Danio rerio: one gene and its partners. The protein of the gene in region 2 purifies or fractionates together with the protein of the main gene of each other region. This does not show direct contact. Links are inferred from orthologs where the notes say so. Each region holds a gene or a part of one and is shown on either strand. Other genes may lie near its edges. The genes, in order: vamp3, napab, use1, stx6, stx16, stx8 and bet1.

The links.
Region 1: the proteins of napab (region 2) and vamp3 purify together in Homo sapiens (affinity purification with mass spectrometry; 3 studies listed by BioGRID and IntAct, with this or other methods). This does not show direct contact. The link is inferred for Danio rerio from reciprocal best matches to the Homo sapiens genes NAPA and VAMP3.
Region 3: the proteins of napab (region 2) and use1 purify together in Homo sapiens (affinity purification with mass spectrometry; 3 studies listed by BioGRID and IntAct, counting the BioPlex papers as one, with this or other methods). This does not show direct contact. The link is inferred for Danio rerio from reciprocal best matches to the Homo sapiens genes NAPA and USE1.
Region 4: the proteins of napab (region 2) and stx6 purify together in Homo sapiens (affinity purification with mass spectrometry; 3 studies listed by BioGRID and IntAct, counting the BioPlex papers as one, with this or other methods). This does not show direct contact. The link is inferred for Danio rerio from reciprocal best matches to the Homo sapiens genes NAPA and STX6.
Region 5: the proteins of napab (region 2) and stx16 purify together in Homo sapiens (affinity purification with mass spectrometry; 4 studies listed by BioGRID and IntAct, with this or other methods). This does not show direct contact. The link is inferred for Danio rerio from reciprocal best matches to the Homo sapiens genes NAPA and STX16.
Region 6: the proteins of napab (region 2) and stx8 purify together in Homo sapiens (affinity purification with mass spectrometry; 4 studies listed by BioGRID and IntAct, with this or other methods). This does not show direct contact. The link is inferred for Danio rerio from reciprocal best matches to the Homo sapiens genes NAPA and STX8.
Region 7: the proteins of napab (region 2) and bet1 purify together in Homo sapiens (affinity purification with mass spectrometry; 5 studies listed by BioGRID and IntAct, with this or other methods). This does not show direct contact. The link is inferred for Danio rerio from reciprocal best matches to the Homo sapiens genes NAPA and BET1.

The regions. Positions count from the first base shown.
Region 1 is NC_133186.1:42,677,926-42,682,040, forward strand, and holds the start of vamp3 (vesicle-associated membrane protein 3), read left to right. Parts: upstream 1-1,315; 5' UTR 1,316-1,439; coding exon 1,440-1,441; intron 1,442-4,115. UniProt on the Homo sapiens protein: SNARE involved in vesicular transport from the late endosomes to the trans-Golgi network.
Region 2 is NC_133193.1:47,631,645-47,635,576, forward strand, and holds the start of napab (N-ethylmaleimide-sensitive factor attachment protein, alpha b), read left to right. Parts: upstream 1-1,132; 5' UTR 1,133-1,197; coding exon 1,198-1,295; intron 1,296-3,932. UniProt on the Homo sapiens protein: Required for vesicular transport between the endoplasmic reticulum and the Golgi apparatus. Together with GNA12 promotes CDH5 localization to plasma membrane.
Region 3 is NC_133197.1:10,727,768-10,731,735, forward strand, and holds the start of use1 (vesicle transport protein USE1), read right to left. Parts: upstream 2,801-3,968; 5' UTR 2,733-2,800; coding exon 2,631-2,732; intron 211-2,630; coding exon 161-210; intron 1-160.
Region 4 is NC_133197.1:16,196,146-16,200,176, reverse strand, and holds the start of stx6 (syntaxin-6), read left to right. Parts: upstream 1-1,231; 5' UTR 1,232-1,378; coding exon 1,379-1,413; intron 1,414-3,882; coding exon 3,883-4,031. UniProt on the Homo sapiens protein: SNARE promoting movement of transport vesicles to target membranes. Targets endosomes to the trans-Golgi network, and may therefore function in retrograde trafficking.
Region 5 is NC_133181.1:52,356,396-52,360,455, forward strand, and holds the start of stx16 (syntaxin-16), read left to right. Parts: upstream 1-1,260; 5' UTR 1,261-1,592; coding exon 1,593-1,724; intron 1,725-1,835; exon of another isoform or gene 1,836-2,002; intron 2,003-4,060. UniProt on the Homo sapiens protein: SNARE involved in vesicular transport from the late endosomes to the trans-Golgi network.
Region 6 is NC_133181.1:25,761,364-25,765,545, forward strand, and holds the start of stx8 (syntaxin-8), read left to right. Parts: upstream 1-1,382; 5' UTR 1,383-1,434; coding exon 1,435-1,451; intron 1,452-1,836; coding exon 1,837-1,936; intron 1,937-2,909; coding exon 2,910-3,004; intron 3,005-4,182. UniProt on the Homo sapiens protein: Vesicle trafficking protein that functions in the early secretory pathway, possibly by mediating retrograde transport from cis-Golgi membranes to the ER.
Region 7 is NC_133194.1:43,532,860-43,537,083, forward strand, and holds the start of bet1 (BET1 homolog), read right to left. Parts: upstream 2,801-4,224; 5' UTR 2,675-2,800; coding exon 2,656-2,674; intron 9-2,655; coding exon 1-8. UniProt on the Homo sapiens protein: Required for vesicular transport from the ER to the Golgi complex. Functions as a SNARE involved in the docking process of ER-derived vesicles with the cis-Golgi membrane.

The DNA of each region.
Region 1 (4,115 bases), on a different chromosome or scaffold from region 2:
GAAAAATAAACGGGGTCTAATAATTCAGAGGGGCTAATAATTCTGACTTACATATATAATGAATTCTGATATATATATATATATATATATATATATATATATATATATATATATATATATATATGTACATATATATATTCACATATATATATATATGTGTGTGTGTGTGTGTGTGTGTGCGTGCGTGCGTGCGTGCGTGCGTGCGTGCGTGCGTGCGTGCGTGGTGCGTGCGTGCGTGTGTGTGTGTACATACTTTATATAGGCTAATTTCTTATAATTAAAAATATATATATTTATACCAAATAGTGTAGATGACACTACACCTTACTTATCAGCAAAACAATAATTTAATTTATATTTGTATAAAATGATTAGGTATATATAAATATTCGATGGTATGTGTTTGATTAAAGGTTTAATATTTGGTTTATTCTACAAAAGGTTTGTGATTAGCATGTTTAAATTTTCAAATAAAAATATTAAAATTTAGACCAATGGTGTCTTAATTTTTTCCATAGCTGTTAAATGTAGTTTAATTATCTGTGTTTGTGTGTGCGTGTGTGTTTGTTTGAGAGAGAAAATTTTGAAATTGAATACACCTTCATTTAATAAAAAATTAAACTACAACATGTTTCATTGATTTAAACAAATTTCTAAATCACACAATATTTTCATCAAAAACCATACATTATTTTCAGCCCAACACAACATTTTTTACACTCCACATGTCTTCAAACTTGTTCAACTCTTTCATTGACAAATAAAAATTAAAATCATGTCTAATTCTTGCTCTAATAAGCCTTTTAAAAATAAGTTCAACTTTATAAATGGTCTCACACAAAATCTTGTTCCTCCTATACTAATGTATATTGCCATTTTTGCTAGTCTTAATATAAGAATAGAGAGAAAAAGAGAGAGAAATAGAGATCTTATTATCATCATTAGATTATTAGATCATTATTTTTTATTATCATCTTTATTATTATTATTATTATTATTATTATTATTATTATTATTATTATTTTACTACTACTACTACTGTTTACTGTGTTTAGTGTGTTTTTAAACTATTTATTATGTATGTTCTTTTAATGTAAACTTTAGTGCTTTGACAATACATTTGTAGGCGGTTCATTCCACTGTGGCGACCCCTGATTAATGAAGTACAAAGCCGAAAAGAAAATGAATGAATATATTTGTAACATGTCATGCCAATAAAGCAGTTTTTGAATTGAACTGAATTGAGAGAGTTTTACAATGACTGTATATTTTTATTATAACCTATGAAATTACTTATATGATGGGGAAAACTTTCACTGTGTGTGTGCGTGAGCTATATTCTACGTGCACGCGCGCGCTGACGCTCACTCGCTTACACAGTAATAACAGTTGTATCATCATCAGCGGGCCTTCACAAATCACACATCAACTCAACAACCATGTAAGTAAAATTAAAATTGCACTAGCTCAGCGATGTGATATGAACATGTGATGATATATGTTTTGCTTTTGTTTTTTTTTTAATACCTAAATATTGATGTGCTGGGAAAGTTTGTGTTGTGTTCTAATGGGTGTGAATACGGCCAAAGCAACAGGTTAGCTTTTAGCTTAGCTTTAGCTTCAGTTTGTTGACAATTTGTTTACTTTAATTTACTTTCGGTCTTGTTTTCGGTTGCTTTTATTTGGGATAGTTGATTATGACACCGTAAGTGAAGTTTAATGTCCGTTTGAGTGTTTAAAAGAGATTTGTGTTTATGTTCGCATTAGCGCTAACTTACATGCTAACTGCTTACAGTTTGTTTTGACTGATAAAAGTTTGTGGAAACTTTAGACATTAAGCATACACAAACCACAGACATATCACCATTATAATAACATATTTGTTTTGTTTTAAGTGTACAATTATTTTAATTTTGAGTGAGTTAAAAGGATGTAGTTTGTATTTGGCAAAGCTGCGGCAAATTAATCAACAAACAAGTTATAACTTACAAGCTTCACAAATGATTGTTCTTCAATCAGTTTTGTTAATCCAGTGGTGGGCAAACTTTTTAGACCAGAGGGCCACTTCACGTTTTGCAAACCAAGTAAAGGGCCACATGCCAAATCCTTCAAAACATATCTTTTATTTATAGTGGCAGTATGCTTAGAACATGTAATATCGGACAGAAACATGTCAGATTAACACAAAACAGATTTTTAAAATAATTATTATCGAGTCAAATTGACAAGTAAAATGAATTTGCTCTGCTATTTATATTTATCAATTATCATAAAACAATAAAATAATCTCTAATAGAATGTAATACTGATAATGATGTAATAATTTTGCAGCGAAGAATAGAAAAGATATTGTCTGATAGACAAAATCCCATATTAACACATTAAAAATAATTCTTAAAGTTTGCTATTTAGTCAAATTTACAATAATCTAATTTGCACTTCTTTTAGAAAATACAGATCAATCATCTTAAAACTTGATAAAACCACAAATCTTTGACAAAAGAACTTTTTAAAGTGGATGTATGGATGGAAAATATACTCTGTGTAAAAAAATTAACACATTTAACCAGCAACCATTATATATTTTGAGTCAAATTCACAACAATCTCATTTGAGCTTGTATTAATATGCTCATATCAATCATTATAAAACTATGAGATAAAACGGAAGAAGAATCTTAGGCCCCGTTTACACTAGTGCGTTTTAGTTTGAAAACGCATAAGTTTTGCTACGGTTACGCCATCCGTCCACACTACGCCGGAGTTCTCGAGCGCCGAAAACAGAGCTTTTTGAAAATGCTGGAGAGGCCGTTTTCATTCTAAAATGCTGCTGCTCCGTCTCAGTGTGGATGGGGAAAGACGGAGACATCTGAAAACGGAGGCGGGGCTGGAAACGTTTGCCTATCTGATTGGGGCTTTTCCTCAATATTAAGTAGCCCACACACAGTTCAGTCTCGCATCCTCTTCTTGTAAGTTCAGACTTCGCAAGTTTGATCAAGGCTGCAGTCTCCCCTTTCTCAGTTTGATATGGAAAACATACCGAGGACACGCGTAAATCTTCAAAGGGAACAGTGTACTTTATAACTTCATTCACATCACCTTGGCTACGTTGTTTCACTTTCTCAACAATAAAATATAAACATGATTTAAGGAACTGCCTATTTTCTTTTTAATATTAGCAACTTAACAGACAGCAGAAATGTTGAGGCGTTGTGTTGCATATATGAGCGTCATCTTCACTGTGTGGATATTTATAACAAAACGGAGCCTTATAACAACTGCCTCCTTTCAATTTCAGTGAAAATACGAAACGCACCCTCTCTTTTGCTGAATATCAGTTTTAATAATCGATAATTATAAAAGTATAACATACAATAAGTTTATACATTGTAGGAAATAAAGGCAAGCGATCAGTCAATGTACCTGGATTAATCATTAACTTATCTTTGCGCTTAACCAAAACATGTTACCCGTGAACAAGTAAGTTAATAGATTCCAATGACCAAAGTCAGGGAATTGGCCTATGTCGTTAGATAAAGACAACAACATGAATGAAATATCACGTTTAGCAAATATAGTGAGATTAGATCCAGCGGGAGATGCTTGATGAGCAGTCCGACAAGCAGAGCTCTCATCTGGGTAGAAATGCTGGAGCGCTTGCCCAAGTGTGTCTGTGTGGTCACGTGATGTGCGTTTTCAGCGTTTTGGTGTGGACGGAGAGCAGTTCAGAAACGCTGGGTAAAACGCTAGTGTGGATGCGGATCGTTTTCATTCTACAACGCCGTTTTAAAACTAAAACGCACTAGTGTAAACGGGGCCTTAGTCTTTGTTATTCCAAGTCATGTCATTATGAGTGTTAACGTGAACAATGAGCCTGAAAATAACGTTACATTAATATTAACTGCAACACTCTCGCAAAATACCCAGCTGATCCAGTCTTTGACTAGCAACATAAAAAAAGCGCAGTGTGCTCCTTTTTTCTTGTCAACAAAAAGGCAGTGCAGAGCATCCTTGTGTTTTTGGAATGTAAATGCGCGTTCAGTGTGATCGGCCTCTTAGGTTGTAGCCCTTAAAAACAGCAATATTTTTTTTGGCATATTAGACCTACAGCTTTCT
Region 2 (3,932 bases):
TTTATGATATATATCCTAATTTCACAATAATAAAACTAATGTAAAATTTTCAAACTAATCATGCATTTGCCATTGCCATTTATAACCTTTTTCTGACATTATATTATTTTTTGGCAACTAAGTAGAGTTAAGAAATTAATATTTTCAATACTATAATCATGGAATAATACTAAATTATCTCTCACAGTCCAAAGACATGTGCTATAGGTGAATCGAATTAGCTAAACTGGCCGTATGTGTGTGCATGAGTGTGTATTGATGTTTCTCATTGGTGGGTTGCAGCTGAAAGAGTATCAGCTGTGTAAAACATATGTTTGATAAGTTGGCGGTTCATTCCATGGGTAGCACAATCGCCTCAGAGCAAGAAGGTCGCTGGTTTGAGCCCCGGCTGGGTCAGTTGGCATTTCTGTGTGGAGTTTGCATGTTCTCCCCCTGTTTGCGTGAGTATCCTCCGGGTGCTCAGTTTCCCCCACAGTCCAAAGACATGCGCTATAGGTGAATTGGTAGGCTAAATTTAAATTGTCCATAATGTATGTGTGTGAATGAGTGTGTGTGTGGACGTTTCCAGTGGTGGGTTGCAGCTGGAAGGGCATCCGCTGCGTAAAATATATGCTGGATAAGTTGGTGGTTCATTCCACTGTGGCAGATTAATGAAGGGACTAAGCAGAAAAGAAAATGAATGAATGATAATAATAATAATAATAATAATAATAATAATAATAATAATAATAATAATAATAATAATAATGTGATGTAAACATTATTAATTATGGAGTACTGATGCCATTGTAATTTATAACTTTTTCAGACATTATATCACTTTTTAGACAACTCAGTAGCAATGATTTAACCTAAAAAGAGTTAAAAAAATCTATATTTTCAATATTGTAATCATGGAGTAATCCTAAATCAGATCAAATGAAATTATTCTGGCCAATTGTCTGGCCAATTTTTAAAAGTAAATTATAAAATTTACGATAATATTTTAAAGAATTGTTTAAAAAAATTTATTATAATAAATATTAACAATGAACTCGATCGAACACCAAATAAATAATTGCTTTTGAATGAATAATGAAATTGAGCTTTTATTTTGAATTTAAGCGGCAGGCGGACATGTTGGAGGTTTCCGCAGAGATGTGTTGATGTGGCTGGATTCCAGAGTTTGCTGCTAAAGTTGAACTGTAAACAATATTCATGGATAACACCGGTAAGGAGAAAGAAGCCACGGCTCTCATGGCAGAAGCCGAGAAAAAAGTCAAATCCTCGCAGTCGTTCTTTGGCTCCCTGTTTGGGTAGGTTTTTATCACTTTTATAACTGAGTTCTGACAGGCCAGCCGGGGGTAAACAGACAGCTAGCATGCTAGTGAGTTAGCTGTCAAAAACGAACTTAATAAAAGTTATTTTCAGAGTGGAAAAACTCCAAAGAACGTTTTGTTTCGCCATTTAAGATTATTAGTTAGTGAATTGTGAACCCATACAGTATGTTAAAGCTGTAAAGCTACTTTAATCTCTTTTTCCCCGCTGAGAAGTCGTAATATAACATAACGTTAAATGGCGCAAAGTTTGACTGTTAGAAACGTAATATATTGTCAGCATTATCTTGTATATATCTAAATCTGAATCTACAAATACATATAGAGCGAATTGTCATTTCTTGTCTTGTGACCTGACATAATGTTTCCATAAAACTGATTATGAAATAGGCGGCGAGACTGAAATGTGACTGAATGCTTTGCTAGTTGTCAGCTGACTTTCACTTCAACAAGTTACAACATCACTGGACTTATTTAAACAGCACATTAACCTGAGAAAACACAAACTAATAACAGCAGGGAACATATAATTAGCAATACATTAATGCAAAAAAAAAACACACTAAATTATTACTTATCATACATGATATATATGGATATGAGCAATTACGTGCAAATGTCAACCTTGCCATGAGAAAAATTAGGTTTTTACCAAAATACGAGAACCGTTTCTGGGTTTTTGTGTAAGTAAGTATTTTACAGTATTTTAGAAATACAGAAAAATGCATCTGTTGATGTTTTCAAACTATTCTATTTACCAAAGTCACACAAGTGGCAATTTCACATCTGTCACATTCATAACGGAGAGATGTCACATTCATAACGACACTTTTTTCTCATAAATGTAAAAATATTAAATTAAATAAAACCAATCATTTTTGTTTTATAGAGAGCCAACTTATAGCAGTTTGATTAGCATTGCTTCTTTTGGGTTGTGCAGTTTAATTCTCAAAAGTTCTACAAAGTATGTTGTGTACTGTACATTTACATTTACATTTAGTCATTTAGCAGACGCTTTTATCCAAAGCGACTTACAAATGAGAACAAGGAAGCAATTTACACAACTAAGAGCAACAATGAATAAGTGCTATAGGCAAGTTTCAGGTCTGTAAAGTCTAAGAAGGAAAGTATTAGTAGTATTAGTATTTGTTTTTTTTGGGTACAGTTAGTGTGATATTCAGAGAGGCTATTGCAGATTAGGAAGTGTAAACCCGCAGACTTTTTTTTTTGTCACATCCACAACGCATGTTTATTCTCATTTAAAGTACAAAACATGTTTACAGAGCGATATTTTTCTGATCCCTTAACTCTGTGGTCTGTTGTTCTGGAAAATATAAACGAAAGTTTCAATATAATGTTAACGTATACTTTCTCTTCGATTTTATTACGTGAAATAGATAACAGTTTCTGTAGGTTTAAGACCTTTTTAAATACACATAAGGAATCTTGAATAGAACGTAATACTCCAATATGCTCTCTAAATGTAAATATGATGCATTACTGATGCTTTAAAGTTTTAGTTTAATATTCAGATCTCTAAACTACCCCTATAGTAGAAAACTGCCCTGATTAAATGGCACCTTAGATGGATGTAAGATAAGACTGTGGTGTCTCCAAAATGTGTCTGTAAAATTTCAGTTCGAATACCCATCAGATTATTTATTATATAATGTAGAACAGGGGTGGGCAGTCTTGGTCCTGGAGGGCTGGTGTCCTGTATAGTTGAGCTCCAACACTAGTCAAACATCTATAAGCAGAAAAAAATCTATAAGCAGGTGTGTTTGATTAGAGTTGGATCTTAACTGTGCAGGACCCTGGCCTTCCAGGACCAAATTTGCCAACCCCCGATGTAGAATCTATCCATTTTAGTGTCTGAGGATTATGTACAGTTGCTATCAGAATTAATTAATCCCCTTTGAATCTTTTTTCTTTTTTAAATATTTGCCAAATGATGTTTAACAGAGCAAGGAAATTTTCACAGCATTTCTTATAATATTTTTTCTTCTGGAGAAAGTCTTATTTGTTTTATTTTGGCTAAAATAAAAGCAGTTTTTAATTTTTAAAAACCATTTGAAGGTCAAAATTATTAGCCCCTTTAACCTATATTTTTTCGATCGTCTACAGAACAAACCATCATTATACAATAACTTGCCTAATTACCCTAACCTGCCTAGTTATCCTAATTAACCTAGTTAAACCTTTAAATGTCACTTTAAGCTGTATAGAAATGTCTTGAAAAATATCTAGTCAAATATTATTTACTGTCATCATGACAAAGAGAAAATAAATCAGTTTTTAGAAATGAGTTATTAAAACTATTATGTTTAGAAATGTGTTGAAAAAATCTGCTCTCCGTTAAACAGACAAGATGTATCAGAAAAAAATAAACAGTGGGGCTAAAAATTCTGGGGGTTTAATAATTCTGATTGCAATTGTAGCTTCCTTAAGTGCAAATGTACTGCTTCTCCCCGCCCACCACTCTGACATTGCGTATCAGCTTCTCCTGCGTCAGATAAATACGTCAGATAAACAGCAGTCAGTGATAGAGAGAGACAGGGATAAGGCTGAAATAAGGTCACGAGTGAAAAATACCAAGTAAGTTTATTTGATGTATTT
Region 3 (3,968 bases), on a different chromosome or scaffold from region 2:
AGTCAATGTCTGTGGTAGTTCATATCAAACGAGACATTTCATAACTGCTGTAGAAACATTGCTAAGCTAGCTGTTTTTAGCTTTCAAGCTAATATTGATACATTGAGGCGTTTTCACCCAATATATGTATTTTTTGTAATACATTATGGCTCAAAATTACCTGGGACTTTTTTTGAGGGCGACAAACATCTCCTCGAGAGCACCGACATACTTGAAAAGACAAAAACAAAACAAAACATACAGTTTTTTTTCAAATCAAAGTCAATTGAGATTTCTGTGGGTTTTTTTTTTCAATCATATGTAAAGAAAACATCCGAAAAACACATTTAAGTGTTTCTTTTTCTTCACTTTATCAATTTGTGTCTTTAGATTTCAATTACAACAGATATTTTGTAAAGGTTTATATTGGGGTAAAGTTGGTTGTATATTCGCACATTCATTCATTTTTTAAAGGTGACAATTTGTGACATGATAATTTGAATATTCAGTCTGAAATTGACTTCAAAACAACATTAGCACTATTTAATTAATTGTGAACAATGTCGATGATTTTTGATCGTTATCGGCTGGTAATGTGATTTTACTATTTAGAATTTTAAATTATATTAACATAGTGAATGTCAGAATGTGCAAAAATAAAACCAACTTTACCTCAATAAAGCTTATTTCTCAAAATAAATCTCCACTTCTGCAGCACTAACCTACAACACACTTCAAATATTTACAAAAATGTAAAAAAGTATTTAATTTTCTGTTTGCATTTTTTTCTGAACTATGGAGTGATCAAGTACACTATAAAAAGTGATTTTTTTTACTTCATTTTAAAAAAAGTGACTAAAATCTGCATAATTATGAAAAAGTAAGTCAACCTAACATTTACAACGAGTTTAGTTACTTTATTTTTAAGTCAATTTGTTTCTTTTAAGACCATTGGTTTACTCGCATTAAGTAACTAAACACTTTTAAACTGTAGAGAAACCCAAGATTTATCCAAAGTAAGATTTTTGGCTAGATAAATATGCAAATTAATGCAGATTTAAACAGAACTTTGATAAAAATTGGTTTAAAATTTTTTAAAAGTGTAACATTTTTGATCTGTTTGCAGTATTTTCTAAACTATGGAGTGATAAAGTACACTGTAAAAGTCATTAGTTGACTATGTTAAAAAATTTAGTAAAATCTGCATAATTCTAAAAAAAATGGTTAAGTCAACTTAACATTTAAAAGTTACGACAGATTTAGTTATTTTATTTTTAAGTAAACTCAACTTGCATCTATTAAGGCAGTTTGTTTACTCGCTTTAAGTAACTAATCACTTTTTAAACTGTAGAGAAACCCAAAATTCATCCAAAGTAAGATTTTTGGCTAGATAAATATGAAAATTAGTGCAAATTTAAACACATTATTAAAAATGTAAAAAAGTTTTTAATTTTCAGTCTGTCTGCAGAACTTTTTTAAAAATATATGGTGATCAAATACACTGTAAAAGTGATTAGCTGACTTCATTTTAAAACAGGGAGTAAAATTTGCATAATTCTAAAAAATTAAGTTAAGTCAATTTAAAATTTACAAGTTACGACAGGTTTAGTCATTTTATTTTTAAGTAAAGTGAACTTGTTTTGTTTAAGGCAGTTGGTTTACTTGCCTAAAGTAAACTAAATACTTTTTAAACTGTAGAGAAACCCAAGACTTATCCCATGTAAGATTTTTGGCTATATAAGTATGCAAATTAATGCAGATTTAAACAGAAAATTATTTTAAAAATATAAAAAGTATTTAATTTTCCGTCTGTTTGCAGTATTTTCAACTTGTTTTGTTTAAGGCCATTGGTTTACTCGTTTTAAGTAACTAATCACTTTTTTAAAACCCCAAATTTATCCAAAGTAAGATTTTTGGCTAGATAAATATGCAAATTAGTGCAGTTTAAACAACATTATTTAAAAATCTGTAAAATTGTAAAAAGGAATTTTATTTTCTGTCTGTTTGCAGTGTTTTCTAAAATATGGAGTGATCAAGTACACTGTAAAAGTGATTAGCTGACTTCATTTTAAAAAGTGAGTAAAATCTGCATAATTATGAAAAATTAGGTTAAGTCAACTTAACATTTACAACGGGTTTAGCTACTTTATTTTTAAGTAAAGTGTAAGGTCAACTTATTTCTTTTAAGGCCATTGGTTTACTTGCTTTTAATCAGTTTTTACAGTGTAGTGAAACCCAAATATTCATCCAAGTAAGGTGCAGATTTTTGTTCTACATATATATGCAGATTAGAGCGAATTCAAACATAACATTATTGAAAATGTCTGTAAAAATGTATAAATTTGTTGATGTAAGTTAATCAATCAGCTGTTGAAGTATGGTGATACTTATTATTAATAATGTTTTACCCCTATCCACCTGCAGTGTCTTGCCTTCTATAGACATTTTTAAATACCGTCCTAAGTGAAGAAACAAAAAGCGGAGTAAAAATGATTAATTTAAAAAGAGATAATTGATTTGAATGCAATAATACGTGCCTTGTTTTGACACGTAATCCACATTAGACATGGCGTTGGTATTATTGCTGTGTTGTTTTCATGCAGAATATTTTACAGTCGGAATATAAAGCTTTTTAAAACATATATTATTACCTTTTCTAGTCTCCATTCTGTCTCGGCTCTTTTCTCTGAAGCCAGCGATTCACAGCGCGACAATAATCTGACGAAATTAATCTCCAGTCTGGACGTGGCCATATTTGACATTCAAAGCGGAAGTAGCGCGACTTTTACATTACAAGGTGGAACAAACAGGCAAATGAAGAGTCCTTCTCCGTGCCTTGAGGCATTTTAAAAATCATTAAGCATGTGAATGGGGCGGTTTGACGATTTTATGACCATGTTTTATCAATTTTGGCTACATTAAAAGTTCAAACTAGCTTTCTATACCGTTGTGTTTGCTTCAAATAACCTGAATTATGTGTTAGCCTTAATATACTGAAATAATGACTCTTATACAGTATAATTATCACAATATTTGTAAACATAAAGGCATAAATTCACAATTATATAATTCTAAATATATAATTCATATTCACTGGCTGTGTATGATTAACTTAGAGTTGTGAGTACAAGTTACTTGAGAAATTTAAGGTAATCAGTTTCCACACATTCTTCTAGTAACATGAACTAGCAAAAAACTGAACTGTTTTATTTGAGTTATCCGTATTAAGCCTAACTTAGACCTGTAAGTCAGCTGAACTTGTTATACTGAGTTGACTGTACTCAAGTTTTAGGTAGTCTTTACAAATAAAAAAGTTACCTGAACTAAGTTATAGTAGCTTGTTCAAATCAGAAATTATGTATTGATTTACTTGAAAATTCTGCGGTAAGCAGTTCCCACAGGTTTTCTAAGTAAACTCAACTCATTACTTTTTTACAGTAGTAATTTACTATTTAAATTCTATTAAAATAGATTTGTTTAGATCTAATATCATATGATCTTTGTAAATTTTTTCCCCCCTAGATTTATATTTTACATAAAAATCAAATTTGTATTTGTTTCTCATATATCTCTTTGTTTGGAACTGTTATGCATAGAAAGCAAGTGTGACTGGAAGATTTTTTTTAACCATCTTTAACAGGAAATTTACACAAATAAATAATGTGAGATCAAAATGAGTAAAAGCAATAGTGTTTAAAGCAAGATTTATCCTGGACAGTAAATCAATGTATATATATTATATAACACACTTATGTTGCCATATATGAGTTATTGTATTGAAATTTAAGGGAATACATACCAATCTAATTTACGATCTGTATGTAAAATGCCGAAACAAGTAATTAGACTGAAAGAAAATGTGGGGTATTTGGAGCATACAAATTCTTTTTTTTTTTGTAAATTGAAGATACTTGTTCAATGATTTGGTTAAATTTAAAAAGCACAATTTATGTTTAAATCTAAGAATAAATTACTTCCAAAATGCAGAC
Region 4 (4,031 bases), on a different chromosome or scaffold from region 2:
ATACATTTTCATTCATTTTTCTTCAGCTTAGTCACTTTATTAATCAGTGGTCACCACAGAGGAATGAACCACCAACTTATCCAGCATATGTTTTGGAACAGCTGTTGGCATTAGAGCTGCAACCCAGTACTGGGAACCCTCCATACACACTCATTCACACACATTCATTCATTTTCTTTTTGGCTTAGTCCCTTTATTAATCTGTGGTCGCCACAGCGACTGAATCACCAACTTTTCCAGCATATGTTTTACACAGCGGATGCATTTCCAGCTGCAACCCAGTACTGGGAAACATCCATACAATCTTACATTCACACACATACACTACAAACAATTTAGTTTATGAAATTCACCTAGCGCATGCCTTTGGACTTGTGGGGGAAACCGGAGTACCCGGAGGAAACCCACACGGCATGGAGAACATGTAAACTGCACACAGAAATGTCAACTGGCCCAGCAGGGACTCGAACCAGTGACCTTCTTGCTGTGAGGCAACAGAGCTAACCACTGAGCCACCATGTCGCCTGTTACATTTTTATGTTACTATACAATTATTGTACACATACGTAAAAGGCTACACACACATATATAAATGTTAGGAGGACTATATGTATGTGTGCTTTTACAATAGTTCAAAATATCTAAGATCTGAAAACATGGATTTTATTTTTTATTTACTGTGAATTTTCTGTGAATAATAATATTCTTATTTTATGTTAATTTTGGTGGCAAATCAAAAGGTAATCATTTTGAAGTCGGTGTATAATGATTCAGTTAAATTTAATTTTGAGGACGTAGGTTCAATATTTTAGTATGTTATAAATTCCTTTATTCATTTTCCTTCGACTTAGTCCCCTTATTTATTAGAGGTCACCACAGTGGAATGAACCACCAACTATACCAGCATATGTTTAACGCATAAACTATAAATTAGCTTTCAATTACGTAAACATTTACATATAGTAGATTTATTATAATAATAATGGTAAGCTACTTTACATAATATTGCCTGGATGATGAATAGACAGAATGCTGACTACCAACATATATTTAAAGCATTATCTAAATTAAACTAATATCTCGTAAGTATATTTTATATTTAGGCATTTTGCATATTAGTGGCAACGCTTTGTTCTTTTACTTCAACAAACCAAAACAACCCGTGCTGCTGTTTATCTGCCCAGGCGCGTGCGTGTGTCTAGACGCTCGAGGACCCGGATGTGATTCCGCCGGGCAATGGCGGCTGAGCGGATCCGGGCTCTGTCCCGCATGTAAACAACACGTAAAGCGCTCTCCTTTGTCCAAGTAAAGCTAAACCAGCCGCGGTCAGGAGCATGAGATTATCGCACCCCACTCATCGACTCATCTGAGCAGCAAAATGTCGATGGAAGATCCGTTTTTCGTGGTGAAAGGGTGAGTTTCAGGGCTTAGATCGGAGACTAGGGGCGAATATAAGATGTCGAATTAGACACTTTCAGGAATCAGATTGGAGTAACGTTAATTATTTTAAACTTTACGTACATTAGCTATTTGACTTGTCCTACGTTGATACTCGGCACCATTTAAAGCAGCTGTTTCGGTAAGATCGTTATCGTGTTGTCATGGCAACCATAATTATCGATTTTTTTCTCAAACGCTTCATAGCGTTAATCGATATTTGTGTCGTCTTCCCTTTAAAGTGGTATTGTTTTGGGTTGCCAGACATCTGCGTTTTGCTATAAGTTAGGATTTACAAATATGTAACGTTACCATGTTTGTCACTTTTTGGGGATACATATTATGGTATGCTTTTGGATAGTAACGTAATAGCATAGTTTTTTCCATGTCAGACATCCAAAAGCATTGCATTATCATAGTAAAACCTTTCAATTCAGTTCATCTTTTATTTCTATAGCGCTTTTACAATCTAGATTGTGTCAAAGCAGCTTCACATAGAAGATTATAGTAAATTGAAACAGTGTCAGCTTATTTTTGTGTTGAAGTTCAGTTTAGTTCAGTCCATTCAGTTCAGTGTGGTTTAATTTTTACTGCTGAGAGTTTAAACACTGAAAAGCAAATCCATCGATGCGCAGCTCCACTGCTCCCAAACCATGCAAGCCAGTGGCAAGGGAAAAAAACTTCACCAATTGGCGAAAGTGAAGAATTAAAAAAACTTGAGCGAAACCAGGCTCAGTTGAGCACGACCGTTTCTCCTGTGGCCAAACGTCTTGTGCAGAACTGCAGTCTAGGCGCTGTAATAAAGTGCGTGCATAATTATTGTTTAATTGTACCGATTTCACACTTCTTAAGTGTTGATTGTATGATATTGGAAAAATCTAACATTGCGATATTTAGTTATTCTGCGATATAATTATCTGATTCAGATGATTCTGCAGAAAAGTGCATCTGCAATAATTATAATAAACTATCCACAAGCATAGATCAAACAATAAAAAAAGATAAATAAACAGTGTTTTATCATTTTTACGTCTAACGTTAACTTACAAATGGTAAAATTTTTTATGCCTCTGGTTTTAAAATCCTACTGTCCAAAAAAACATGAAAATGATAGATTATACTACAGACTCAACATTGCACAACCTGCGATGTGACTATTGCGAATGACTACATTGCGATATTGATGCTGAAACGATATATTGTGCAGCCCTAGTATTGATATTGTGTATAATCATTAATAAGTTACGTGTAATTTTTTAACAAGCACTGGGGGTGTAAGATAATTATATTTAGATGTGCATATTTATGAAGCAGGTTTATTTTGACATGTCAAAACGAAGGGACCAAAAGGAGGTGTAACATTGGGGAGGAAAAAAAAAAAAAAAAATATATATATATATATATATATATATATATATATATATATATATATATATATATATATATATATATATATGTATGTATGTATGTATGTATGTATATATATATATATATATATATATATATATATATATATATATATATATATATATATATATATATATATATATATATTTTCCCAATGTTACACCTCCTTTTTGGGCCCTTCGTTTTGTATATATATTAAACGACCAAAAGAAGATCACAGCATTAATAAACCTGTAAAATTAAGGTATTACTATTGAACGACAAATACTAACTAGGGCAGGAGGAAGACAGATACATAAGCTGTCCTTAAAAGAAATCAGTATTGTATAACACTTCAGCTATTGGTTTTTATAAAGTGGGGATTTATATTATTGGGGGTTATCTATTGTAGTTTCTCATCAAATATTCTGACCAATCAAATACTCTCTAGTGTCTGACATACCCACCCCCCTCAAGATGCTTTTCATTTGCTTTATCCATTGATGCATCTTTTTTGAGATCAACCACTCTCACTGGCAGAGCTGTGATTAAAAACGAAACACTCTTGGATGTTTTTTATAAAGGAGAGGGGCTACTCTATGTCCCACCCTGTCTTCATGAATTTTATTTCAGATTACAACGAAGAAATCAAATTCAAAATGCTAATTTTAAAGCACTTCACAGCACCTTTAATTTATCACATTTTTTATAGGATCGCATCCATTATTTTTGACTTTTTAGTGAGAGTTGCATCTTTTTTATGGGCTATTTTCCTGCTTAATGATTATACACATCAGACAGTCTATTAATTTTCAATTTAATAATAATTATTCTAAATAATAATACTAATAACACTTATTAATAATAAATTACAAGTAAAATATTTTAGTATTTGGCTAAGAACGATGTATTTGAGAACTGGTCAAATTCTCTTTGGAAAAAAACAATTATGATCATATGTTTATAATTTTCATAATTATCTGCACACTCTGTAGTATTCTTGTCTACATTGTAGTAGGTCAATTAACCTTGAGGCTTAATTGAATGTATTTGTCTTAGAGAGGTGCAGAAGGCTGTAAACACAGCTCAAGGTCTTCATCAGAGATGGATAGAGCTGCTACAGGACGCGGGTGGAGCCAGCAAGGAGGAAGTGGACTGGACCACCAACGAATTACGAAACAGTTTGAGGTCCATTGAATGGGACTTGG
Region 5 (4,060 bases), on a different chromosome or scaffold from region 2:
GTATCACAATGACATGATTTGGCAACAAATCACAGTACAAATCGCAATAAAATTAACTAAATTAGCCATATCAGAACATCCCTACAGAGTACAGTTATATTGACAACACGAGTAAGTCATTTGTCTTATCTGTACACAAGGACTTGTCATTCTGACGGCACTGACATATTGAGAGATGAACTAAAGATTTTAAGCAAGAGACTGGCTTTTGCGGGTAATCCATGCTGTTTTGCCATTTGTATGTGCTGTTTTGAGAAATGCACTTACTGTTTTGTAAATTTCAAAGTTCATGCAAAGACGAAAAGTCTGCGAAGACATAAATTTGTATTTTTATTTGCACATGTTCTTTTATAAAAAATAGTGTATACATAATTGGGTTTTACATTTTTTGGCTTAATAATTATTACTTTTTAGTCTACTCATTTTGATGTAACCATAATAGTACAAAAAAGAAGAGAGTCATGTATTTTAAAACAGATATTTATAAAAATCCAGTGGAATGGAACATCACAACCATGGTTTCTGCAGGTGTCAGTCACTATGTCAAATGTATGACTTTTTAAGTCTTTTTTTTAAAAAACACTTGTGAATTAAATTTTTACTACATGCTAAGGATGTTTTAATTGGTGTTACCAAACTTTTCAGCCCCCGAGCCCCAAAATAACAATGCCTGTGACTCGCGACCCCAATATTTCTCAGAGGTGGTTATAAATATACAAATGTTGCACACACAAAAACAGGCCTATAGTAACATGAGCATATTGCCAACATAAAAAGTGCAACAGTCTTAACAATCATAGGCTATAATTTAATAATCATTGATTCATTTGTTTAATTTAACATTAATCTCACCTCAATGAGCCTGGTTGACACCAGCACAAGTCTAATGGTTTAATGTTGAAGATCATCCTCAATGTTCAGTTGTGGCCTGTATTTATTTTTAATGTATTTGATTACCATAAAGGAGTCAGAAAGTTTAACCTGGTGCTATAAAATCAGTCTGTGTTGTTAATCTAACATACTATCTAATCTAATACATTATCCTATGACAAAATTAAAGGCTGATGGCTTTTTTTTTGCATGTTGTTGCTTTTTTAAATAATAAAATAAAATTCGAATGTAATTAATTCTTAAATATTACAAAACTGCTGTCGTCTAATAAAACTAAAAGGTTCATTAAGCTGCAAATATGAAAAGGTTAAGTATTTTAATACTGAATTCGATTTTTGCATATTCATTGTCCAAAGCGGAAGTTTCGGCGTGAGGTCACGTTACGTATTCCACGTCACGGAAGTCACAGACATGATCCATTTGCTCCCCAAACCGAGCGGAAAACTCGGGGTTTCGGCCTTGTAATGTTTTGGTACTTCACGGGATACAGACTCGGGACTGCGTTGGTCTAAAAAAGAGCCGAACTCTCTCGAGCTCGGAGGCGCTGGGTCAGTGGGCGAGCCTGCTGCTCGGTTTGCAGGCTAGCCCGCTAGTTCAGTAGCCGCAGCTGCCTTGGCGACGAGCTGAGTAACTAATCTAGAGACAGCCATCGAGGCAGCCCGCAGTTATTTCACTTTTCGCTCCCCTTTTATTGCATAGCCATGGCAACTCGGCGACTGACCGATGCCTTCTTATTAATGCGGAACAATGCAATCCAAAACCGGCAGATTTTGGCTGAGCAAGTGAGTACATACGACCCCCGTCGTACTCTGAATACACGTAGCAATGCTGCGGTGAGTCTAACGTTCATTGTCTGAATTGATTGTTTTGGCGTGTGTGGTTGTACGTGTGATTCAGAGAAAACAACTCTAGCTAGTTGTTCTTAGAAAACAACCCTAGCTAGTGATGTTTGTTGATGTCAACCGGCGCTGTCAGTTGTCCAACAAACCTCAACTTGTTTTGTTTGCTGTGAGAGGAGCTGGAAGGTGTGTGTGAACCTGCTAGCTGACCGTCAAACCAACGCATTTTGATTTACCTCAGCACACGAGAATGCCTTTGACTTGACTAAAAGGTGATGGTCGTGCTAGTTTAGATCATTGGTTCGTCTTTTAAAATATGACGCCCACTCCTTAAGTATACAGCTTATATGTTCGTGTATGAAGGCGCATGTATGTTTGTCTGGAGCTAAATAAGAATGTGGAGACGCTCTTTAACTGATTTATCTAGTACATATTATTGTATGATGATGTATGTTTACTTTTTAAAATTGAATTAAAATATTAATCATTAATGACCATTGTTAGAAAATACAGAACTGAATGGTGTACTCAAATTCAGTTTAAGCTACTGTTTAATGTTGATAGCATTTTGAAAAATTGATTTATTCCATGGTTAGAATTGCTTTAGTTTAATCCATCCTTGCTCAACGCAAGAATAAATACATTTTCATAAGTTCCTTAACTTTTCAACAGCAGTGAGTCATCGTGAGTTAAAATAGTTTTTCTTTGTGATCTAAAGCATACACATGAACTTTTCACATGCTTTCAATCACAGTAGCACGATATTGGGAAAATCTAACATTGCGATATTTTGTATTTTGTTACGTGAATACAGTTTTATTTGGAAAGAATTCCTCATTTTAGTTTAATTGGGGTGATTGGATCTCGAATAATGTGTAACAAATAACTTACAAGCTTAGGTAATCAAAATACAGCAAATATATAAGTGAATTCTAGTTTTCTGGAGAGTCTTAACAGTATTCAGGTACAGATAATTGAACAGTCAACATTGCATAGTCTTTATTCTATATAATGTAATCGTTAATAAATTTACAAACACTAACTTTTCTTGTGGCTGGATGTTTTAAACTCTGAAATGTTAAAAAGTTTACACAGTCAGAGGCTTTAAAGGCATAGTTCACCCAAAAATGAAAAAGTACTCATTACTTACCCTTTACTTGTTTCAAACGTGTAAGAGTTATTTATTGAGTTGCACGGTTTACTATGGTATTATCGCTATACTATGTCTCCAAAATACTGTCTGTGCCACTGTAGTTTGTAAACGGTAGTATCGTCATTTATGGTTTATCTACAATAGACAACGTTGCATGTGAAAAAGTCAATAAAACGCTTGCACGTTTGTGCAACAATAAACCATTTATTTTAATAGTCTGTAGAGCCCTTTAAGATTGCCAAACTGTGTCGAAAATGTGCCTTTTATGGTAGCCTGTTGCACGTTTCCTAACGCTTCAGTTTGAATAAACATTTAAATCGGTTCATTTCTGTTCCTATTAATATGATTAGCTACCACGACAATCTCTTTAAAAGAACGACTCACAAAATGAAATTTTGAAATACTTTGAGTTGTTTCCTGAGAGGACTAAAAACAAAGATGAAAAACCCAAAATAGCAACAGGAAACATTGAAACTATTTTTGACCACGTCATATAGCCTAATTTTGTTGGAAAAATGCTCTTTTGTAACAGATTTAATTTGGTATAATTTGTATCTTTATTTTAATGTGTTTTTGTTGGCCAGTTATCTACAAAATACACAAAAAGAATGAACAAACTTGAGGTGCAAATAATACTTTTTGGCCTTAAGGGAATTATGAATTACATTCAAGTAGGCCTATTATAACATAATATATAGTATTTCTGACAATTTCTATTTATTTTGAGTTATTAATTACAGTATCGCAATGCTACTTGGTATCGTGACACTTCAGCTGGTATAGTATCGTAAGATTAATTAATAATATCACCTAATAATAACCCTAGTTATTAAAATATTTTCTTTTCGTGTTCAACATAAAAAAGAAACACATAAACTTTTGAAAATAGTGATTAAAGGTACATTTTTGGGTGAACTATCTCTTTAAAGAGTCCATTATAATTCAACACTGCATTAATTATAATCAACTATTATTTCAACTCAACATTGAAGATCCTGAGATGTGACTATTGCGGATGCACACATTGCCACATCGATGCTGAAACGATATATTGTGCAGCCCTACTTTCATCGAATATACAGTCACTGTAAAATTTAGATTTGTTTACGTTTGTTATAACAAATGTTGCCGAATGTCATAGAAAGTAAAATGTATTAATTTTATTCCTACATTTTTA
Region 6 (4,182 bases), on a different chromosome or scaffold from region 2:
ACAGAGAGAAAAAAAAATACACAGCCTCAATCATTAAGAAAAAAAATTGTCATAAGCTTTAAGAAACTTCTTATTATTATAATTAATAAGCTTAAGAGATTCAATATTGTACGAAATTTCAACAAGGAAAGTATTAAAATAGGTATTGTTTTTAGAAACTTGTTTTTGTGTATAAAAAATTTACAGAGTAACACAAAAAACAAAATTACAATAAGATCGAGAGCATGATCATCATCCAAGAAATACAGAAATATATCTTTTATAGACAAATTTAAATCATGTTTAAAAATGGATGATAAATAAAAAATAATGTAATTCCAAAGATGTTTAATGTGAATGCAACTATAGAATAAGTGAAATAAAGTCTCTTCATGTATATTGCAGAAAGTACACAAATTAGATATATCAAAATAATTAGCAATTTGGGAATTTGTAGGATAAACATTATGCAAGATCTTAAAATGTATCTCTCCTATTTTGTTGGATATGCTGAATTTGTCAGGTAATAACCATAAAATTTACATCTTGGGGTGGTATATACAGAGGAATGTAACAATCGTCTGACATGTCTGTTGTCACATTTTTTATCAAAAAAAGACACTCCATCCAAAAAAAGTTCAGGCATAATTGTTTCCCTCTCATTAAAGTAAACAAAAGTCTTAAATAAATGCACATAACTTTGTGACAAACTCTTTAGAACACAGTTGAAGGATTAAGCTGGCAAAGAGAAGTTATACAATGTCATAAATTATTCATATTCCAAAATATTGCCATCATTTTAAAATAAGTCCAAAACAAAAACAATTCCTCTTTCAAACCACTTATCAATAAAAAGAGATTTCCCACGAGTTAAGACATTAGAGTTATTCCAAAGAATTTCTTTGTGTGGGGAAAAATTGTGCACGTAACACAATTTCCAAGCAAGTAAAGCTTGTTTGTGAAAATTACAGAGGGAAATTGGCAATTTAGAAGGGATTAAATTACATTTTAAAAGAAAGTCTAAGCCACCTAATTTATCAAATATAACATTGGGGATATGGTAGCAAATTGAATTATTACTACGGAGACATCTTTGTAGCCAATTAATTCTAAATGAGCTATGCCTAATTAAATCTTTGAAATTTAAAACCTCTAATCCACCCTCTGAGCGCCTATTAGATGAGACTGATTTTCTAATTTTATGGGTTTTATTCTTCCATATGAAGTTCAATAACACTTTATTTACATAATCAGCAATTTTGTCATTGATAAAAAGAGACATCGCAGGACAAACACAACGAGACATCGGTTACCGTATGAAGTGTGTCTATGAAAGGCCACCGTATGACGTCGTTCCTTAACAGGAAGTGGCACTGCGCAGTTTATGTTGATGTGATTTTGCTGTGAGTTTCTGCTAAAACGCTTTTTGCAAACTCGAAACAAAAGTACCGCAACATGTCAAAAGACCTTTGGTGAGTGCCTATACTATTATTATTTACTGTCATGTTAGATCTGCATGTCAGGACAGTACGTTAGACTTCAGACTTCAACACTATTAATTTAGTGCATCTGTAACTGACAGTCAGATCAGTTTAACTTTAACGCTAGACTAATTTATCTATTTTTTTTTCTACTCCCCAGGGCTCATTTTACCCTATACTTTAATTGATCAATTATGTTTTCGTTCACATATTGCTGTTTTTACGCGTCTTGTAAAGGTTGCCAAGCCGGTTAGCTGACATTTGATTGTCACATGATTGTGTTGATGACAACCTTGTGATTTAAATAACTGGAAACCCTTATCTCATGATCCCCATTGGAAGATTTTGATAAGTGTAATCTGTGTTTTGTTTACAGGTTAGAAAATTATGATGCAGCTTGTAGGCTGGCTCAAGAAATTGCAGAAAACATCCATGAAAGAAACAGACAGCAGAGGACTGGAGGAAACCCAGCCAAGGCAAGGCAGGATTTGATTGTTTACATCAGGGGTCTCAAACTCAATGGCGGGGGGCCATATTAGTGACTGACGATTCATATGAAGCACAAGAAAAAAGTGGAAATCTGATGTAATACATTCTTACACTCATACATTCTTCCCCAGTTTATCAAAACTCCTTTTAGTTTCTCGTTGTATATGTTGAAGGGGTTGTTTAAATTGTTATGAAAATACCACATTATATAAGCATAATAATCATAATTATGTCCCAATCAATTGTTGCTTTACCAGATGTTTAACCGATAGCGTAAAACATCAGAAAAGAGTTTGAATAACTTTGTTGATTGTACTGGCAATTGTTCTTCTCAATGTCCTTCTTTTTTTTTTAAACTACAAGAGAGGAAACGTTTTTATGTATGTATTCACGTTTACTTTAACATGTGCAATTTAGCCAGCAGTAAAATTTTACTAATGCACATTTTTTATACAATTCTTAATATGCATATTAGAAAAATATATTAAGGATACATTTTTGAATTGAATATTAGCAAAATAATCATATTTACACTACTAACATAACGTGTAAGCCTTGAAGAGGTGTTTGTAAAAATAGAGCACGTACAGACATATGTTTCAACTTTTACATTAGCCCCAGAAATAATCTGCATGTGCATTACTCTCAACTGCACACTGAGAGAAACAGAAAGTAACCTGCATATATTGTACAGTACTTTAAATGTCCTGTAGGTGGGGGTCAAAAACATAAGAGGCTATATGCAACTGCACAAAGATAGTGACTCTAAAAAAATATATTTTTTTGTTGGGCCGAATCTCATTATATTTTTCATGTCAATTTCGGGCTGAAAGAAAAAGGAGGAGGGTGGCCACAAATGGCCCACAGCCAGGCAGTTTGAGACCCCTGGTTTACATGAGATAGTTAACCAATCTTTTACACAATATAATAATCTCTCTTGTTGCTTTTCCATCCATGTAGATCAACATGACCCTGAGAGCATCATTACAGAAGCTAAAACAGAATATAGCACAACTCAGAGAGACTCTGAATCGAGCAGCTGTTCAACGCCATATGTATCCTTTCATTTACTTGACTGCACTTTCATTTCACAGAGGCCAAAGCGCCTTACAATTGAGGAATCATTCAGCGATTGAAGAAGCAATACAGTCAAGGAGTGCCAGTAATACAAAGGGACTGTTTGTGGCCAGAGAATTAAGTGCCAGCATTAGGAGGAGGGAGTTTATTTTTCTTTTTTTGAGAGAGAGTGAAAGGTGTTTTTACAGGTACTACATGTATAGTGTTTTTTGGAGTGATTATAAGAACCTGCTTTGTGCAAATGTGCAAAAACTGATGCAAGTGTTGTTTAAAGTGTCAGAGAGATGAAAGAGCATGTTTTCTACATGTGGTTTGTTAAGCCCACTCACCTGTGTGAGGCAAACTTCATGAATGCATAGTTTTTTTTTAAAGATATGAAGTGATTGTAAAAATGTGCCTTGAGCAAATGTGTAAACTGATGCAAGTGTTGTTTAAAGTGTCAGAGAGATGAAGGAGTGTGTTTTCTACTGGTGGTTTGTCAAGCCCACTCACCTGTGTGAGGCACACTTCATGAATGTATAGTGTTTTTTTTTAAGATATGGAGTGATTGAAAGAATGTGCCAGGTGCAAATGTGCAAACTGATGCAAGTGTTGTTTAAAGTGTCAGAGAGATGAAAGAGTGTGTTTTCTACATGTGGTTTGTTAGGCCCACTTACCTATGTGAGGCAAACTTTATGAATGCATAGTTTTTTTTAAAGATATGAAGTAATAGTAAGAATGTGCCTGGTGCAAATGTGCAAACTGATGCATGTGGTGTTTAAAGTGTCAGAGAGATGAAAGAGCGTGTTTTCTACAGGTGGTTTGTTAAGCCCACTTACCTGTGTGAGGCACACTTCATGAATGCATAGTTTTTTTTAAAGATATGAAGTGATTGTAAGAACGTGCCTGGTGCAAATGTGCAAACTGATTGAAGTGTCGGTTAGGGTTAGGTGTCAGAGAGATGAAAGACTGTGTTTTCTACAGGTGGTTTGTCAAGCCCATTCACTTGTATGAATCACACTCAGAATTGACTATGTTTTGGGGTTGTCCTGTAGTTCTGTGTAGTTGCTTCACAAAACCAAGAAAGTTGAATCCAGCAATTAGGATTATAATGACTTCTTTATGATTGTTTGTTTTGCAGTATCATTGAGAACTAAGATTTTCTAAATTAGTTTGA
Region 7 (4,224 bases), on a different chromosome or scaffold from region 2:
ACCTTCTCCTGTACAAGAAACATTCAGGTCAGGTCAAATCCAACGGAATTTAAAAAAAAAAACATTTAAAATCAAGTATTTAGTACTAAAAATAATAAATCTTATTACAGTAAACTGAAATGTTGCCTTAAAGAACTGGTTCACGACAAAATGAAATCTGTCAATGTTTACTCGCCCTTTAAATGTTTCAAACTAGTAGCTAGTGTTGTCACGATACTGGAATTCAATACCAATCGATACTGAAGCTTAAAAAAGCATCCATCTCTTGCTAAGATTTAAACACTGTTGATTACGTTCTTAAACACAGCTGATTTGCCATTGTGTTCACATGCTCAACAAAAATGACTGTGATTGGCAGTGAAGGTCATTAGTTCACCAATCTCACTGCTGTTCACTGAGTGTAAACACAGATACAGACACTGGAGCATTTAAAAGCCGCAATTCATCAGCAGATCGCTTGTATGTGAAGTTATAGACAAACCAGCTGATTGACGTGACTTTAAAATGCTTGTGTCCCTGTATCTGTGTTTACACTCAGTAAACAGTGTTGAGTTTGGTGAACTAATGACCTTCACGGCCAATCACAGTCATTTCTGTTGAGCATGTGAACACAACAGCAAATCAACAGTGTTTAAGAATGGGCTCAACAGCGCTCAAATGTAAGCAGGAAATGGACGTTTGTAAAATTTCAGTACCGATTGGTATCGAATTCCAGTATTGTGCCAATGCTACCTGTAACCATTCACCTCCATAGTAGCAAAAACAAATACTATGGAAGTCAATGGTTACAGGTTTTTAGCTCTGTTTAAAATTTCTTCTTTTGTGAAATATAAAAATTGTTTGGGGTGACTATCCCTTTAAGAGTAATTGACAAGTATGCACTGATTTGATTGATCAAATATTCTCTAAAGTTGGAAGTGAATTTGAAAAACCTAAACAAATAAGATTGAAATGTTCATCAGAAACTATTTAAAATCGAAAAGTAAAAACTCTGGATAAAATCTTGATTGTCTACATGAGACAAAATGTTGAAATTTGCAAAATAATGAATGTTTTTTTAAATTAAAAGGTAGATTATTTGCTTGGTGCCTCATTTTATCAAGTTTAAAATGGGTTTTATTTGCTTTATCAATCATACTTTACTGTTCAAATTAGTGCTGGGCCGATAAACAATATTATATCGAATCACAATAAAATTTTTGTCAATAACAATGACAATCTCTTGACTTTTCTACTCTATATTGATCTAAGAGCAAATCACACAGCAGAAATGTGCAACAATGGGAATCCAAAAGGGTGTTGATATTAGAGATGCACCGAATTTTCAGCCACGGAAATTTATTGGAAAAAAATGTTCTGCCATCTATTGCAGGGGTTCCCAAACTTTTCAGCCCGCGACCCCCAAAATGACAATGCCAGTGACTCGCGACCCCCAATATCATCTGAGGTTGTTATAAATACAGAAACCTTGCATGCAATGGTGCACACACGCCAATACACCCAGGTTTATTCTTTGTGTAATTTTTTAAAATGTATCTCAGTGCTGTAAATGGGCCAGAAAGTTTAAGCAGGTATAAAATCAATCTGCTGCATCCGATGCTATTGCTGTGTCTTTAATATTATGTAATTACTACAGGGGTCACAATCCAATAGAACTAGTAACTATAAGTTATTATATAGTTTATAGTAACTCTAAATGACTTTTTTTCTCTTCAGTAGGTTACAATATGGTAATTCCGGTTTAATAAAAATAAATAGATGTTTGGAAATCCCCAGGCGACCCTTCCTTTCATTGTCCTGCGACCCCTCAAGGGGTCCCGACCCCTAATTTGAGAACTACTGATCTAATGGACTCTTATTTTTGTGGCTTCAGTCAATGTTAAAGTACTATTTTAAATCTGGAAGCATTGCCAACTTGTATTGAAATATATGATGTTATGCTTCATATGGAAAATAATTAACGAGTTTGAATTCTTTTTTAATATCGCCCAGCCCTACTTCGAATAGAAGGTTTTTTAATTTCAGCTTAGATGTGTCATATTTATGCTGTTACAGTATCTCGTGTTGTTCATACACAGAAGTTGCTTTTCTGTATGATATAAATATATATGTAAACATGATTAATAAATAACGCCACTGACGTAAAGCTGGTTTTAAATTCACACATTCGAACTTTCTCCTTAATAATATGATTTCAGAAAAGTATTATTTGGAAGTTCTAAATAGGGAAATTATATTAGCAGACTATTAAAAACATTGTTCACAGTAAATTATATAGTGTTGTTTTGTAGTCATACTTACACGTGATTTCAGTCCGAATATTCAAACTAGCATAAAGGTAAACAATACAGGGAGCTGTCACAGAACAAATGTTCGAATATAAAAACAACTTCACCTCAATAACAACGATGGTGAAATAGAGAAATAGGAGTTGCTAGTTACTGCAAGAACGTTAATAAACGTTATTTATCCATTTAACGTTAACGTTAATTCTCCACACCTGGATTTAACGTTAATGTGTGGGTGATGATTTGGTCATTCAGAGATTGCTTACTGTCATAAACTGTGACCAATAACGTTAAGTTTTCTAATTGAGTTGAGATTTTAGCTTAGCATAAGCTTCAAGCAATACGACACATAAAAACGCAAACTTACCCAAACCAGCGCGCCTCATTGTCAACCCAGTAATCTATATGACGTGGATACGATCACTGCAGTCTGTAAAATAATGTGACAAATATTCGCTAATGTTGATATTTAGAGAATCTGTACTTTCCCCCTCCAACTTCACAAGCGCCACGACACCTCTTACGGAAGCCGCAGAGGATTAAACGATACGCGTTTAAGTTACATGGGCTTCTGGGTACTGAAGTTTTTACTGCGAGTATTGCGGTTAATTCTTGTCTTTATTTGTCATAATTCTAACATTTTCTTCAGCAAACTGTGACTTCATTTCTCAAAAGTAAGTTGACACGACTTGCAGGGTTAATTTAATTGAAAAATTGCAAACAGCTGTAGACTTTCTCACAGTTCAGACTCTAAGACAAGTCAGATTTTCAAAAATCTGTGACACTATTATTTATTTTATAGAAAATGTATAGACTTTCTCTCAATTCTGAATTTATCTTCATTCTGAGGTTCTTTCAAAGAACTGTTTTACTTTTTATAACTGATAGTACAAAGCCTTATATGGGAGCGACATGGTGGCTCAGTGCCTCACAGCAAGAAGGACGCTGGTTTGAGTCCCGGCTGAGTCAGTTAGCGTTTCTGTGTGGAGTTTGCATGTTCTCCCTGCGTTGGTGTGGGTTTCCTCCGGGTGCTCCAGTTTCCCCCACAGTCCAAAGACATGCGGTACAGGTGAATTGGGTAGGCTAAATTGTCCGTAGTGTATGAGAGTGTTTGTGAATGTGTGTTTGGGTGTTTCCCAGAGATGGGTTGCGGCTGGAAGGGCATCCGCTGTGTAAAAACTTGCTGGATAAGTTGGCGGTTCATTCCGCTGTGGCGACTCCGGATTATTAAAGGGACTAAGCCGACAAGAAAATGAATGGAATGAATGAGTTTGCATGTTCCCCCATTGTTAGTGTGGGTTTCCTCACAGTTTAAAAAAACTTACCCAGACTTTAAAAGAAACAGACTATGAGCAAATGAGTTTAATAAACACTGAAAAGTGTTTCACTGACTATATATACACAAATATTTTTTTACATTTAATATGCAAATTTTTGAATATTCATTTCTTTTTCAACAATATAAAATTGAGCATTTCATCTCAATGTTTGCGACGCGTTGGCACAGTGGGTAGCACGATTGCCTCACATCAAGAAGGTCGCTGGTTCGAGTCTTGGCTGGGTCTGTTGGCATTTTTGTGTGGAGTTTGCATGTTCTCCCCGTGTTTGTGTGGGTTTCCTCTGGGTGCTCTGATTTCCCCCACAAGTCCAAAGACATGCGGTACAGGTGAATTGGATAAGCTTAAATTGGCCATAGTGTATGTGTGTGATTGAGTGTGTATAGGTGTTTCCCAGTGTTGGGTTGCAGCTGGAAGGGCATTCGCTGTGTAAAACATATACTGGATAAGTTGGCAGTTCACTCCGCTGTGGCAACCCAAGATTAATAAAGGCACTAAGTCAAAAAGAAAATTAATGAATGAATCTCAGTGTCAAGAAATGCTTCTAAATCATTACATTTACACACATTTCAATTTTGTGTGGTGTGGCATTATTTAGT